Diceros bicornis minor: one gene and its partner. The protein of the gene in region 1 interacts with the protein of each later gene in a pairwise test. Links are inferred from orthologs where the notes say so. Each region holds a gene or a part of one and is shown on either strand. Other genes may lie near its edges.

Region 1 (8,020 bases):
CCACACCTACACCACCTACCTTTAAGGCTTCAGGTGTTTTCAACAGATTTATAGAGACGAAACAGGAAGAAAAGTAATATGAGCTCCAAGTCTGGAGTTTAAGTATCCTTTCTTAGAAAAATAAACTTAAAGTGTCTGTTCATAGTTCTCAAATAATATCACATTTAAAGAGACTTGGGCAAGCTCCTATTTTTTTTAAAAAATTGCATCCACTCTGATTTAGGCTTTTTGCTGTTGTTGTTACTGTATAAATTTTTCCTTCCTTCCTATTTTTATCCCATATATTTTTTATATTATAATATTACTTTTGGATAGTTGTATTTCAATTTACTCTAGCTTTTCATCAGGCGAGATGAAGCAGAGAAAAATATTCAAAACTCTGAACCAGAAAGAGTGGACCAGACAAAATGAAACTTGCATAGTTCCAAACAGGAACCTTAAAACATAAATCTGTTTAATTTTCAATGTCTGGATTTCAGGGATCGGGCTGAAATTTACTAAACTGTTCCCTCCTCGCCCTGCCTGTTTTGGAGTGTTTCAATTGCCTTTCCTTCTTCCAACAGCTGTGACAACTGTTAAAACAGTCAGTAAAATTAAGTCCGCTCTATAATCCTGTAGTCAATGTTACATTTTAATCAGAGGTTGAAAGGGACTCATGTGACAAGCACGCTCATTTAGAATGATTAGACTGACACATATGTCAAAATGAGCAGATATATTATTTTCGTCTATTTATGCTATCAGTTATTACTGCTATTAAATGTGAAACAAGCTTGCAAGTATTATGTTCTTTAATATGCTGGCACATCTAAAATAAAAAATACATAGTTACAGGTTAACATTTTAGGCTCTCCTAATGGTGGTCAATAAATTGCACGAATCTTTTTAACAGCCTCGGAAGCAGAAATTGTCCGATATTTTCCTCTGAAACTGCATAACTCTGGTTTCGTTTCCATGTATACACAGACACGTGATGGGGTTTAACCCAGTACAATTACTATAAATATTAATAGCATGTATAAATTCTGTGGTTTATTAATTGAGACAGAAAGGCAGATGCGTTGCTTAGCATTAGATCTTTCTGTCTGTCCAGTGAACCACGTAACCATCAGAACTGCATCCAGACAATAAATCCGTATTTTTTAAAGATGACTTTTAATTGAGCCAAAAAGAAAGCTACTTTGAATCTTGCGCCAAAGCCAAAAGGACATGTGCCCTGATTTCATTTCAACGCATCTGCTTTAAGAGGCTTATCTAAATTATTCAAATTGGCTATAAGAAGTTCAATTCAAGGAAACTACTTTTAAAAGAAGCCTCCAGGGGATTTTTAAAGTTTGTTTTGTTTATTTATTTACAAGAGAAAGTTCAGAATCTGGGTGAGCTTGGATAATGCATTCCTCCTGACATGAAGACATTTTAAACTCTCCAGTACTACAGTTCCAGGTGCACTAACCTTTAAACTACACTCAAGTGAGCAGTTCTACCTTTGTTTATATTTCATTTTTATTTTCACACAATTTAAGTTTGTTTCTTCCTTTGCGTGTTTTAAACTGATGCAGGCACAGCCTTTCAATCTTTCAGTTTCTCCTAAGTCCATCTCTTGGTTAATATCTCTTGTGTGAGTGTGTATGTGTGTGAGAGCATGCATACATATATATACACACACACACTCTCTCACACACGAGCAGCCACTGAGACGGCAAGCCACTTTCTTCCCTTACTTAATTACAAAGCAATGCAATATGCAGTCACTAAGGGCAGCTAGTGGCCATCTACCTCTAATGCACGACCTCGTCTTCTAGAGTTTTATATTTTCTCCACAATCTATAGAGAGAAACGTTTGCCAAGAGCACTCTTTTCAGAATTATAACAGTTGGTATTACCGTAATGTGAAAGCAAAGCAATATAACTGACTCAACAGAAAGATGAACCAGTGACAGCTCCCGTGATATACTAATATTTTATCTTAACAGTGGGTTGAAATTAAGTTTACGACCTCTTCATTTACACAAGAATGCCTAATTTACTTCTCCTACCCCCTACTCACTTCTCTCTCACCTTGAGTAATCCAAATATATATATATATATATATATGTTTCCATGTGCATAAAGATATTCACAAATATGAATTAAACTGCATTTAAGAACAAAAGTACTTTTCTAGATTTTCTGGACACGATACATGAAATAAATCCACAATCTCAGCATTGTCTATTCAAGGGGAAATTTTAAAAGTCACTGCTGTTTTATCTTTAGTTTTTTCTCTCCTTAAATATTTATAATGTGTGAAAATCTCATGTTACTTAATGGACTGATTTGTCAGTTAAGTGCTGACTTAACGCTAACCATGCAAATAACATTATTCTAGCCCTGAAATGCAGAGGGCTAGTTTTTAAATTGTTCTCCGAAGGAGAATTAGTAAATGTGCAATTTTGCCTCTAACTCTGCGCGGTCAGAAATGACAGGGAGCTGGAAATATCTGTCAAACTGCAAATACATAAGAGGCACTCAATACGATAAATCATTTTGAATATTGTATTTTAAAACATCTTTCCTTGGGAAAATGGGTCCTAGTAAAAGATGCGTTTTAACAGTTCACTAAGCATTTGTGCCAAGTGCCTATTCTTAGCACCTGAATAAGAAGTGACTGTCACACAGCTGTTTTACCGACAGCCAACTGAGCTTCGACTCAAAGGTAACACTGTAGTCAGAGAACAATTCTCGACTTGCTGAATTAGGAGCTCACCCTCCACACAAAAGGCACAAGACAGACACAAACAAGCACTCGTGCACGCAACACACCCGGGGCATTACCTGAATCAGTGTGCAAAGACACCTTCTGTCTACCCCCACGCACGCACCCCCACGACGAGTTTCAAAAGGAAAGAAAAAGGTACCTACTCTTCCTCGTAGTGCAGGGAAAAAGATTCAGGAAGGCAAAGTTCTACCGAATCCATGTGCGACCGGCAACCATTATTTGTGCACCCCAGCTATAAATCAAAGTTTCCTTGACAGAGCACAGTGCAATTAACACAAATGTTCTCCTAGTGACAAGCCTATAGGCACGGCCAGTTGGGACCAAAGCTCTCACACTCTCCTAATCAAGGACTTAAAGCCCCGATTGGAGCTTATTAATATGAAGTAGGGCTTTACATATGCAGTCCCACCGGCCCAGGCGCGCAGCCGATTGGGGGGCCTCTGCCCAATCAGGAGGGAGGCGACGGGAGGCTGCACCGAGCGAGCGAGCCAGGCAGGTAGCAAGGGTGCACAGAGGGAAGGGGGCTGAAAACTGGGAGTGGGAGAGAAACAGAGAGCGAGGACGAGGGAGATTGCAACGCTCCCATTAGAGACTGTTTTTTCTTTTCTTTTTTTTTTTTCCCTCGGAAGCTACCAAAGAAACATAACTAACTTAACTCTCTAAGCACTGGAGGGATTTTTCTTTGCTTTCTAACCTAAGATCTCTTTTGCCTGGCAAAGAAGAACTCACGCAGACTCTCAGTTAATTTGGGAAAGGATTCTGCGGAAGGTAGAGAATTAAGTTTGTCCAGCCGTTGTCTGTTTTATTCCACTGGGGGCTGCTTCTGGTGTAGTGAGGTGCTTTCTCGTTTATTCGTACTCGTGTCTTTTCCTGTTTTCCTGATGTATCCCGGGCATTTTAGAAATCAAAGACGTTCTTCCAAATGCTTCGGGCATAGGAACTGGGATCGTCATCCCTGAGGTGGAATGCAGTTTTACACAACTACGGAAGAGGAAATAGTGCATCAGGACAATTTGAGAAAATGCCCATGTAAATTACACGTGTAAATATTTCTTTACCTGCTGCTGTCTCTCTACATATCGATAGACAATGCATAGCTTTTCAAAACAAACGTAAACAACTGTAGGGCAAATTGGCTTTTTCAGCTTCAGAGGTGGGAGACCGGGGGCTGTGGGGTAAAAAGAACATTAAATCCATCTCAACGCATTTTGAAGGGAGAGCATTACTGAACAGTGCGCTGAAATGTTCTTAATCATATACTTATTTCAATACAAGCTTCCAAACTGGGAGACATATACAAATATATATGATTTTACCCAAAACATGAGCTTTCGAATAAAATGCAGTTTACATATTTGTTTCTACACGTAACACACCCTAAAGGCTTTAAAAAATCCACTCAGAAACAGTTTGTAAATCATCACACAGTCTGGTCATTATAAGGACTAGTTTCAAACAGATAATAATTTGCAAAACTAAGACTTAATCAAAAGTGTTGTTTTTAAAAAAAGAGGATCTAAGAAGAGAAGGGTGTTTTTCCTCCAATAGTATATAGCGTGCTTTTAGTTTCCATGTAACAGAGTTTTCTTAGGTCCACTTTAAAATACAGAATTTTTTATACTAGCAAATGGATATTGAAATAGATACAAGCTATTTATGGCAAAGAGATAAATGCTACCTTATGGAGAGTTGAAAGACCCACAGTTTTGATATAATTCAGCTCTACTGCTTACCAAGCTTTTGCATCTTGTCTTACAGACATAAATAGTATAATCTTTGAGATCAAAATAAATTAGTTCAGATATTTGGTGTGTGTTAAATTCACTAAATCAGAACCCAACTCTTTTTCTCAACCCTCTCAAATTCCGAGGTCTTTAAAAGACAAAACACTAAAACAGAACAGCCACATTAAAATTCAGAACATAAAAATGACAGACATGATGTGGTCCCCCCAAGAAGAGAGCAATTTCCCTGCCATGTATTTAGCCATATCTAAGATATTGGCCTGATTCTTTTTATTTGTGGTCTAAATGCAGACAAGTTAGTAGATGAGAACTCACATAGCAAAAACTGTGCCTGAGAATACTGTATAAAAGCAGGTAGTAAAAGCTTAATTACCAGTAGCATTATGCTGTCTATATTGTTAAATGTGAACTCTGCAATTAAGATGTAAATTTGGTTGTGAGCAGTGAATTAAAAGAGCTTTGAGATGTAGCAGAAAATCCAAGCCCCTGCAGACACCCGAAAAAAAGATTTGTCTATTCAATCTAAAATGAGACATGTAATCATTTGATAATTAAAAAAAATAAATAAAAAGGCATTTGAAAAAAGAAACATGATTTTTCTAAAATATGATAAAAGAAATGGGGAAGCTAATACTGCACTAGAAAGACAGGAAAATAGCTTTGGTTCAAAGATTACTCTCTTGATTTCTGAATAAACTAAAATTCTCAGGGCAATTAATAAATCCAATTGTACACATTTTTAAAAGATATACCAAAAAAAGTTTCCTTTTTATTTTGTCCAGAGACTTTTTTAAAAAAATAAAAATTATTTAATGTACTCAACACATCTTAATGTACTCAACACATTCAGATTTTGCACCTGTGCAGAATCATGTACTGTATTCAGTTTCTTTGCATTATCATGCTGTGACAGAACCCGTTTATTACTCCTTTGAAATGGCTTTTTAAAGACAAGATTTGTAGTCAATTATTTACCGATGGTCTTTAAGTCACTACATTTCATAGGAGTTATCTTTTATTTCCTGGAATTTTCTTATTTCCCTTTGGCTACTTATCTGACCCATTGTGAACCATTTGGTTTCATTGGTATATATTTCTAAACATATTTAGACTCATACTCGTGTAAGTCTTTTCTCTGTGCTCACAGAGATCCATGTACAAATACACAGTATAGTCTCCCCTCATCCTTCACTCACCATATTTCATCTATGCAATGTGCAGTGTCCACTAAGCTAGCTGCTTTCTGAATGACCAGAAGTGCACTAGGTTTGTAGAGCTGTATGTTGTCCTCTTGGGATCAATGTGTCACGTCTACAAGTCAAGGACCTAAGATTACACCTACTGTCTTGAATCCAGTTTAACCAATTTAAAATTTAAAATAATATCTACTGCACTAAACTCGTGAGACAGCTTCCAGAATATTCTATAAACACACAGCTTAGTTGTCTCCAGAATCTTTCCTAGTCACAGTTTTCTCACGTTGCAGGAGGAAAGAGTGGATAATCACAGGAAATAAACATGCCAGGAGCAATATTGAGCACAAACCTTTAAGAATCCCAACTGCAAAGGATTTGGGAAAAAATAAAACAAATAAATAGATAAACAGCTTAGAATAAATACATATTGCTAATCAGTCTATACACTTCACAATCTTACCACAAGGAGTCTACCCAAAGCAGGATAAATGAAACCAAACAAAAGAACTTCTGATCATTATTTCACAAAGAATATTAATACATTAGTTAGTATCAGTCTATTATACATCAGGTCCTGGGTATACACATAGTTCCAATCTCTTCTTTAAACAATGAGGTCACAAATACCCAAATGACTTCATTCTCAAACCTCAACTAAAGGCACAGACACTAAACAGAAAATATACATTTCCATTTGAAAGAACGAAATGGCAACAAACAAAACTCAAGTGAAAACAAACGGTAGATTCCTCTCGTCTATACCAGCAATTTTGTTGTATTTTCCTCAGAATCATTTCCTAAAACATTCTAACAAGGAATTCTTAGGTTGCTAAGAGAAATGCTTAGTCTTGCTAGTATTGCATATTAATAGCTATTTTACGTTCCCACCTTCCTTTTCTGAAAATTACGAGGACTAATCTGTATTAAAATTTTCCTAGTGGCCACACTATTTTTGAAGCAAATTTTGATTTTATATGGCACCTTTGCCATTTGTTAAATATTTAAAACTAAACAAGGTGTCGTCAAGTTAGATTTTCAAATTGCCTTGTAATCTACCTTTTCAGATCTTTCCTCAAGATCATAAAACCTTTGAAAAGCTGTTTAACTTTTTAAACCATCTTCCCTACTGTACTATCTTTAACTTCAAAAGAAAACCCCCAAAGAACATCCCTGGAGAAAGAATCTTGAAGGACACGCAGGAGGCCTGACCCCAGGCTCCCTTCTGCCCCTTCACGAGCTGTGTTGCCTTGAGCAGGTCTCCTCACCTCTCTGTCCCTGGTTTCCTCATCATTGGGATTTCTTCTATGCTATAAACCTCCTTAAGAACACACTTTTCCCACTGAGAACATGAAGACTTCTTTCGAAGTCAGTATGCCTATTTTATATTACCCCAAACCTCTATCAATCCATCATACCTCATTTTCTGTTGCCTTTCATTTCTAGGGCACAGGCTTTGATATTTAAATTATTGTCTCGATTGGCAAGAAGCAATCATTTCTCCGGAAAGTGATCGCTTCCACAGAAGTACTAATAAAAACCTTTCCTTTTCACAAACCTCTTGTCCTATAAATCCATCCTATTCCCAAATTACCGAATCCGTGTAAAAAAAAAGCCCATTCTCTGGGGAGCAATTAGCTCACTTCCATACACACCAAAGTCTTTTCCCAGTGTGTTTGTGAAAGTAGAAAAAAAAAAAAAATCAAAGGAAGACAGAGAAACTAATAGAGGCAATTCGGTTTCTGTTTAATTAATTCAGGATTATTTCACTTTCATTTTGTCAAGCTAATAATATACATGGGAAAATGTGAGTAAAAATTAAATTATAAACTACAGTAGCTCCAATGGGAAAACTGACTTTAGTTATGTTGTATTTCCAACATACTTACCCTGGTAAGATACCAAATGCCTTTTATAGTCTCCTACAAGCTTTCTATAATCTGCATGCCATGTATTTACAGAGCAATAGTTAACATTTTGAGATTATACGTTAATAAATGAGTTGCCGTTATATCCTTTCCTGAATGTTAAGCACCGAGAGCTCAACACAGAAAACATTCAAGGTCAATGTCCCGTTTTAGACCTTTTCAGGCAGCTGTAATATTATGATAATCAAGCTTAAAATATTCCTATAGAAAGAGTAAATTAGCCTTTTCACTTGAAAGATGATTATGATAAACAATAAACCTAAGAGAGGACAAAATCCCTATTTTTAAAAGCCATAAATTGTTGACTCAATCATGTGTGTGATAGTGTTATCCAAAATAAAGGGTAGCTTAACTCCAAGAGGAGGGCGGGGGGAGTAGTGGAGACAGAGAAGGAGG
Region 2 (7,894 bases), on another chromosome or scaffold:
TTCATTAAGCAGGTGTTTGTTGAGGGTCTTTAATATGCCAGGCAATGTACAAGGTCCTCTAGATATAATCATTGTGGGAAGTACACTGCTAAGCAAAGTTGGACGGGAAAAGAAAGCAATTTCCTGGGAGGAAGATAGTATAACAGTTCCAGATCCTGATACAGGAGGAGTCTGTAGCTAAAATTACCATCACCATTAGGGGACATAGCTATGCGGATCAATGCAGCAATGATTTTCAAACTCACCCGTCAAATCAATTCTAATTGTTTGTCAACCAATGGGATAACCATTTTTAAACCTGTCAGTCCACTGAATTTATTAATTAGATAATTTGATCAACATCTGGTACTGGGATGGATTCAAAATTGGTAGATGCAGTAAAATAAATTGATTTGATGAACATTTTTCCTTGAACAGAGTGGTTGACTGATTTGGAAAGTTGATTTTAGAACATTTCAGAATTACCATGAGTATGAGTCCTTATTCCATTTCAGCAACTATGTGACCTCTAAGGCAGGTGATTGCCTTCTTTGTAGCTCATCTGAAGGAAATAAATAATGATGACTTGATCTTTAGGGGTTTCATGAGTCAGCAGCTAAAGCTTATTAATTCTTACATAAATAGAGCTTTAAACATTCTGGGTCTTGGAAAGGAAAAATAGGGAGACTATCTCTTGGATTTTATCAGCCACTACTCTTCTATAATAGTGTTTACCCAATATTTACCTTGAAAAATAAGGAAAACACTATTGTTACTCCCTGTCACCTATTTACTAAAGGAACTGAATTCTGAGGCATTGCAGCTCTTTTAAGCCTCGATTGAGAATTCGTATCAGGTTTCAGATCATCACGCCTTTCCAGGTCAAGAGCATCTTGCTGTGCAAAGGTTAGTTTTACAATTTTACCCGGCTTTCTCCCCACCTGTACTTCACTCCTACATCCTTTAGAGAAAACTGCATTACTTTGAAGTTGAAGGTTGCATTCAGGCAGGCAGAGCTGCTTTACTCCCACCCTGAGTTAGAACAGATAATGGATTCCGCAGAGCAGGTGTCCAACTGACCAAGGTCATCGAACAATGACTCAGTGTAAATATCCAAATTGCAGTTGTGGACAAACTCAGCATATGACAGGTGCAGTTGATGAGTGTCCTTTTGTCTTGCTGTCACAGTGGTCTAAGGACATGGGACAAATCAAATGAAGAAGCTATGCCTGCCTTAGAAGGTTACGTCTTCACTAATCCTGTAGCAACCAGCAGGCTGGCATTGCTTGGTGCAAAGCTCTGCACTGCTGTGTTTGGATGATTTTGTTTCTCAGGAGCTATCTGTTCAGGGAAAAAATGGAAAGGGGAAAGATGAAGTCAGTTTTCTCCTGACAGTTCCAAGGATGAATACTTGCGAAGGACAAACAGGCAAGCTCTCCTTAGAAACAGTCAATCCAAAGAAGCTGGGAAGTCCTCAGAGTTATGAACAGAAAGTCACAACTTCAAGAAAAACACAAGTAAGAAAATCAGGAGATTCTGCTCCTGGGAAAGAACAGGAATTATAACCAATATATTACAAGTTCATGGTTCTCAGCACCGTACTGAAATTTCATTTTGAGACAATGCCTGAAAGTCAAAGACATCAAATAGGTGTGAGGTGTGAATGATTAAAGTCACAAAAAATGGGTTGTTACTAGGATTTTAAAAAATATACTTGATAAGATGAAAGAGTTTTAGAAAAACCTTTAAATTATATAGGGCTAGGGTACATATATTAAAATAGTCTATGGCATTTTTTTCTGGTTTCATAGCTGAAAAGGCTAACATAATATTAAATGCCTTGTTCAATGCTAAATCATTAGAAAGTGAACGAGTGTAAACTTAAGTTACTTTATATTTTTGATATAGTGAAGAGGTCAGCAAACGTTTCTGTAAAGGCCCATATTGAGAGAAAAAAATAATAATAACCCTTGAAGGACTTAGAACAGGGTGGATGTATTAATATTGTTATATAGAATTTTTCCCCATTTCACAAGTGTGAAGGCTGAAGTTAAATGACTTGTTCAATGTTATATGTTTAGAGTAGAAGAGCCCAAATCCAAAGCCATGTCTTTTGACTGTTAACTCAATTCTCTTGTTACTTAATCACAGTGCCTGCAGCACTCTGAATATCACAAAAGGCCTCCAGAAAGCTCTGAGTCCAACAGGGCCTGCTAACTCCTCCTTCTGCCAGGATCAGCACAGCAATAGTGTCCTGTGTGTTGAGAGCAGAAGATACACCCTTCTCCTCTTTCTCTAAAGGCACAGTTGGCCAACAAATATATTTTTGAGCACCTACTGTATGCCAGACACTGTCCTAGTTGCTGGGACACAGAGTGACCAATTCCTTGCCCTCAAGGGACTTTTATACTAGTTGAGGGAGACAATCAACAAGCATCAAATAACTAAATACATCAATCATATCAGCTCTGATAAGTGATAGGAAGAAAATAAAATGGGGTAACATAAAAAGTAACTAGCACTGGCAACTTAAGGTGGGGGCTGAGGTAGGCTGGGTTTTTCAGCTAGGCTGGTTGGTGGATGCATCAAGCACGAAGATTGCTGAAGTAGCAATAACAATACCCAAAGAGTAGCTTGAATATTGGAAATGGCAAATGATGAAATGGACAATGAGGTAACATTTCTAATACATATTACTGTTGTGGACCAGATGGCCCATCCAGTGTTTTGAGTCTGGTCTAAGAAATGTGGACATGCAGAAAAAAAATGAGACAACTTCTGGGTGGAGGGATAGGGTGGGCTTCCCTGGCAGAGAGAGAATAATGGTGGTGCTGGTCTAGCATCAACTCCTAACCCTGAAGTTATCACATGTTATCTTAAAAAGGGGGGGGATAAGAGTTGATACATCCAACACTTATCGTGTACCAAACAAACATTTTACATGCATTAACTCATGTATGAGGATTACCTCACAGAGATTATTGTCCACATTTTACAAATAAGGAAACTGAGGCACAGGTGGCTTAAGTAACTTTTCTGTGAAAGGCTAAATAATGCCGCCCAATGATGTCCATGTCCTAACCCTCAGAACCTGTGAATATGTTATCTTTCATGGTAAAATGGACTTTGCAGATGTGATTTAATTAAGAATTTTGAGATGGGGAGATTATTCTGGATTATCTGGGTTTGCCCAATGTAATTATAAAGATCCTTAAACAAGTCAGAAAGGAGATGGAAGCAGAGGTCAGAGTGATACGGCCAGGAGCCCAGGAATGCAGGCAGCTTCTAGAGGCTGGAAAAGGCAAGGAAATAGATTCTCTCCTAGAGCTTCCAGAAGGAATTTTACCTTGATTTCAGGCCAGTGAAACTGATTTCAGACTTCTGGCCTCCAGAACTGTAACATAATAAATTTGTGTTGCCTTAAGCCACTAAATTTGTGGTAATTTGTTATAGCAGCAATAGGAAACTAATACATCGCCCAAGGTCACGGAGCTACAGAGTGTCAGGGCCAGAATTAAAATTGAGGCAATCTGGTGCCAGGGCCAGAAGTTTAACCACTGTGTTATTGGGCCTCTCACAGAAAGAATAAAATTTCAGGTTGAATGCAAAATAAGTGTCTCCTAGGTTTTCCTCTTATACTCAGAATTCCACGTCCCAGAGAAATTAAAACATGAGAAAGGGGATCCTACACCAGCTAGTTTATACAGGTCCCCTTCTCTATGTCTTCAGTCCTGGACCCAAGAGATCACAAAGGAAACCTTCTATTTTAGAGGTGAGGAATTTGAGGACTAAAGGGTTGTGATTTTGAAGTTACCCAGCTGGCTGGTGAAATAATCTGCTAGTTACACAAGGGGCACGTGGTGATGTGGGAGACCCACTGATCTCAGTGCCTTTGTAAAATGAGAAAGGAGGCTGTGTGGCAAGTGAGGACCAAAGGATCCAGGTTTCCTGAAACCTATGTTTCTCATTATTCATTTAGGAAGGGTGGGAGAAGAAATGCTAATTACACATCTATCCAATGCAATACTTCTAGAAGAATACAAAGTTTTCACTGGAACAACCGTTTAGCCCCTTGTGATTATTATATTCCCAAATATTAGCCACTTTTATGTCCTGGTCACTGCCCCCAGCTCTCTAACACAGCATCCAGGACAGAGTGGGGGCTCAAAAATATTAATTGCATTAAACAAAACGCTTATGATAGCATCTTTAGATCAGCGCTTTTCAAAATTTAAGGTGCAGGCCAATCCCCTGGGGGGGGTGCTTGTTAAAATGCAGATTCAGAGTCAGCGAGTCTAGTTGGGGCCTGAAATTGAGCATTTCTACCAAGTTCCCATATGATGCTGATACTGCTAGTCCATAGTTTATATTTTTCAAGGTCCCTGAAAATGAGATCTCTCCATCCATATATAAAATATGTCATACAAAGTTTGATCATTTAATGAAAGTTTGCAAAGATGGCATAGAAATAGACTTTTTCCTTTTTAGGCACCTCTGCCCTTCCAATAAAGGAGGCAAATTAGATGCCAGGGTTCAATGGCAAGAGTTGGAACAGTGCCCCAAATACCTGCTCCCTGAGCTCTGCTCTCAGTCTTCCAGAGGCAGGGAAGGGTGTAAAGAGAGGAAGGAGGGAAGTGTCCAAGAGCTCCCATGCCTTCGTTCCTCTTTCATTTCCAACCTTTAAGGAGCACCTGCTCCTTCTGAACCGCCGAGGTCACGGACAAATACGCCGGAGCGCAGCGCCGCGCCCCCCTCCGCGCGCCCTTGCCCAGCCAGAGACAGCCGACGCGCGTGCGTGCGCGCTCGGTATAAATAAATCCCAAGCGGCGGCCACTGGACAGAGCCAGGCTGCCGGCACCGCTGGCCATGGCGGGTGAGGACCACCAGTGGCAGGGCAGCATCCTCTACAACATGCTCATGAGCGCGAAGCAAACGCACGCGGCTCCAGAGGCTCCCGAGGCGCAACTGAGGAGCCCGTGCTGGGGCTGCTCCTGCGGCGCGGAGCCCCCGGTGGGCAGACAGGGGCTGCCGGGTGGGCGGGCAGTGGTGCTCCTGTACCGCTGCTGCTTTTGCGGTGAAGACCACCCGCGGCAGGGCAGCATCCTCTACAACATGCTCACGAGCGCAAAGCAAATGCATGAGGCTCCAGAGGCGCCCAAGGCACGGAGGGAGGGCTCGTGCTGGGGTTGCTCGTGCGGCGCGGAGCCCCCAGTGGGCAGAGAGGGACTGCCGGGTGGGCGTCCCATGGCGCTCCTGTACCGCTGCTGCTTTTGCGGTGAAGACCACCCACGGCAGGGTAGCATCCTCTACAGCTTGCTCACCAGCGCAAAGCAAACGCACGTGGCTCCGGAAGCTCCCGAGGCGCGGCCGAGGGACGTGCGGTGGGACCGTTCCTACTGCGCGCAGAGGCTGGTGGGCAGAGAGGAGCTGCCGGAAGGGAGAGCAGTGGCGCTCCTGTACCGCTGCGGCTTTTACGATGAAGACCACCCGCGGCAGGGCAGCATTCTCTACAACATGCCCACGAACGCAAAGCAAACGCACGCGGCTCCTGAGGCGGAGCAGGGGGCCCCCTGGTGGGACCCTTTCTGTGGCGCGCAGCGGCGAATGGCCCTCAAGAGTCCACAGGTGGTCTGCGAGGCAGCCTCCGCGGGCCTGTTGAAGACGATGCGCTTCGTCAAGTACTTACCCTGCTTCCAGGTGCTGCCCTTGGACCAGCAGCTGGTGCTGGCGCGCAGCTGCTGGGCGCCGCTGCTCATGCTGGAGCTGGCCCAGGACCGCTTGAACTTCGAGACAGTGGAGACCTCAGAGCCCAGCCTGCTGCAGAGGATTCTCACCACCAGGCGGCGGGAGACCGCGAGCGAGGAGCCGCCGCCCCTGGCCACGCTGCAGCCACACTTGGTACCGCCGCCAGAGGCCGGGCATTTGCTGTCGGCCGCCCAGGTCCAAGCCATCAAGGGCTTCCTTGCCAGGTGCTGGAGCCTGGACATCAGTACCAAGGAGTACGCCTACCTCAAGGGGACCGTGCTCTTTAATCCGGGTAAGGGTTCCAGCCTTGAGCTCTGGATTTTCTCTGCTCAGAAAAGTGTTGGGCAGTGCCTACCCTGGGCACAGGCAGGGGCACAAGTGAAAAATCGCAGCTAACTCAGCAGAGTTGGGGGAGGGGGTCCAGAAACCACTTCTCGTGGGTGGGCCGCTGCCAGAAACTCAGCAGAGGGGAGGGGGCTGGCTTGTTGAGGTTTGTACTTGTCTCTCTACACCTTTCTGTTACTACAGAAGTTTGTGCCTTCAAGAGACATGGCTATTCCTTCTCCTCTAGTCTTTTAAATCTAGTAGCACAGCTTTAAAAAAAAGTTTGTGTTCACTGCTAATTCTGCAACATCTCATTCTGAAACCTAGTTCTGAAATTTACTAGAACCTTTTTGTTGCAGGAAATCTATTTGGGCTGGAAAGAAAGGAAGCATTTGTTAAGGACTCAGAGACCATCCTCTGGGGACACTGTCAGGACACTGGACTTAGTGTTTCATGGGTCTGACTCTGAATGGTCATTTTTATGATCCCAAGCAGCTGGATTATCTTATCCTCCAAGTGTCTGTGAGTATGAGGCTAGCAAAGGGGTAGGAAAAAGACACACTAGGGACTGGGAGCAGGAGCACCGTATTTTAGAGCTTGAAGAGACGGTAGAGACCTCCTAATCTACCCCCTCTGCCCTCCACCCTTCCTCCACCCCATTTGCAGGTTAGATAGCCTAGTCCCAAGTGACCTTACTCCAAAATAAATGGCCAGTGAGTTGTGGAGCGTGGGTCTCCTGTCTCCTTGCCTAATGGGAAGTCTGCTGTGCCAGACTTTCGGGTTGTCTGTTGGATGCTGGACACTCTGCCCCATACAGTGCAACCAAATCTTGGAAGATGATCTCTCTGGATAGCCCAATGCCTAGTGTCGAGTGTGTTCTACTACTGGAGTCATCTTCGACCAGCATCCTTCCAAAAGGGTCACAAGTGGGCAGGAAGTTTCCAGGCAGCTTGAGCTGTGATAGTCGTTATAATACTCCTTCCACATCCTTTTTTCCTGACACTAGGAATCTTGAGTTATATTCTTGCCTCCTGCCTAGCATTTTTTGAAGGGGTATAGAGCAGTATTTAGTGGGATAATAATTCATTCAGAATTCACATTTCAGGACCTAGAGACCTCAGCTCATCCCAGTGATCATTGTAGGTCACCTTTTGCTTATATCGTTGTTCTCCAAACTTGCCTGTGCATAAGAAACACTTGAGGGGCTTGTTCATAGTCTCTCCAGGACCCTACCCTAGAGATTCTGATTCAGTATCTCTGGTCCAGGGTCTGCAAATCTGCGTTCATAGTACGTGCCCTACGTGGTTCTTAAGATCGTTTGGGAAACAGTGTTTTCTTGCTCCGTCAGCCAATGTTGTTAAACATCTACCATGCCATGTGCCTTGTTCTGATGGAATACAAAAATGAGACGGGCTCGGCTTCCAGAAGTGTACATTCTACTAGTTTCCCGCTTTTCCTCCACCTCGTTCTACATACTGTTGTCACACACATACACGTTTCCTTTATTCTCACTCTGGTTTTCTGAATCCTCTCTCAATATGAGTTTAACCAGCTAAGCTGAGTGTATTTTAAACACACATGCATCTGCATTTGGGGAAATTAATGCCTGCTAAGTGTTTGGCCTTTCTTTGCTGTTTATCGTTTTGTATCCCCTGATCTTCAAAGTTTTTTTGTTTTGTTTTTACTGTGGAGTCCATCTATCCGCCTTTTCTCTTTTCTAAATTTACTGTGAAGGCAAGTCTTTCTTTGGGGGAGGGGAAGCCACTTTTCCTTGGGGTGGTGGAAAAGGAGGGGTGTGGTATGAAAGCAGAGAAAAGTGATGTGGAGTTCAAAAGATGAAATTTTA

What was found.
Region 2: the proteins of ESRRG (region 1) and NR0B1 interact in binary tests that used the Homo sapiens proteins (3 or more experiments, as listed by UniProt). The link is inferred for Diceros bicornis minor from reciprocal best matches to the Homo sapiens genes ESRRG and NR0B1.

Annotation. Positions count from the first base shown.
Region 1 is NC_080777.1:16,076,573-16,084,592, reverse strand, and holds the start of ESRRG (estrogen-related receptor gamma), read right to left. Parts: upstream 3,077-8,020; 5' UTR 2,958-3,076; coding exon 2,902-2,957; intron 1-2,901. UniProt on the Homo sapiens protein: Orphan receptor that acts as a transcription activator in the absence of bound ligand. Binds specifically to an estrogen response element and activates reporter genes controlled by estrogen response elements.
Region 2 is NC_080781.1:25,762,166-25,770,059, reverse strand, and holds the start of NR0B1 (nuclear receptor subfamily 0 group B member 1), read left to right. Parts: upstream 1-4,845; coding exon 4,846-6,016; intron 6,017-7,894. UniProt on the Homo sapiens protein: Nuclear receptor that lacks a DNA-binding domain and acts as a corepressor that inhibits the transcriptional activity of other nuclear receptors through heterodimeric interactions.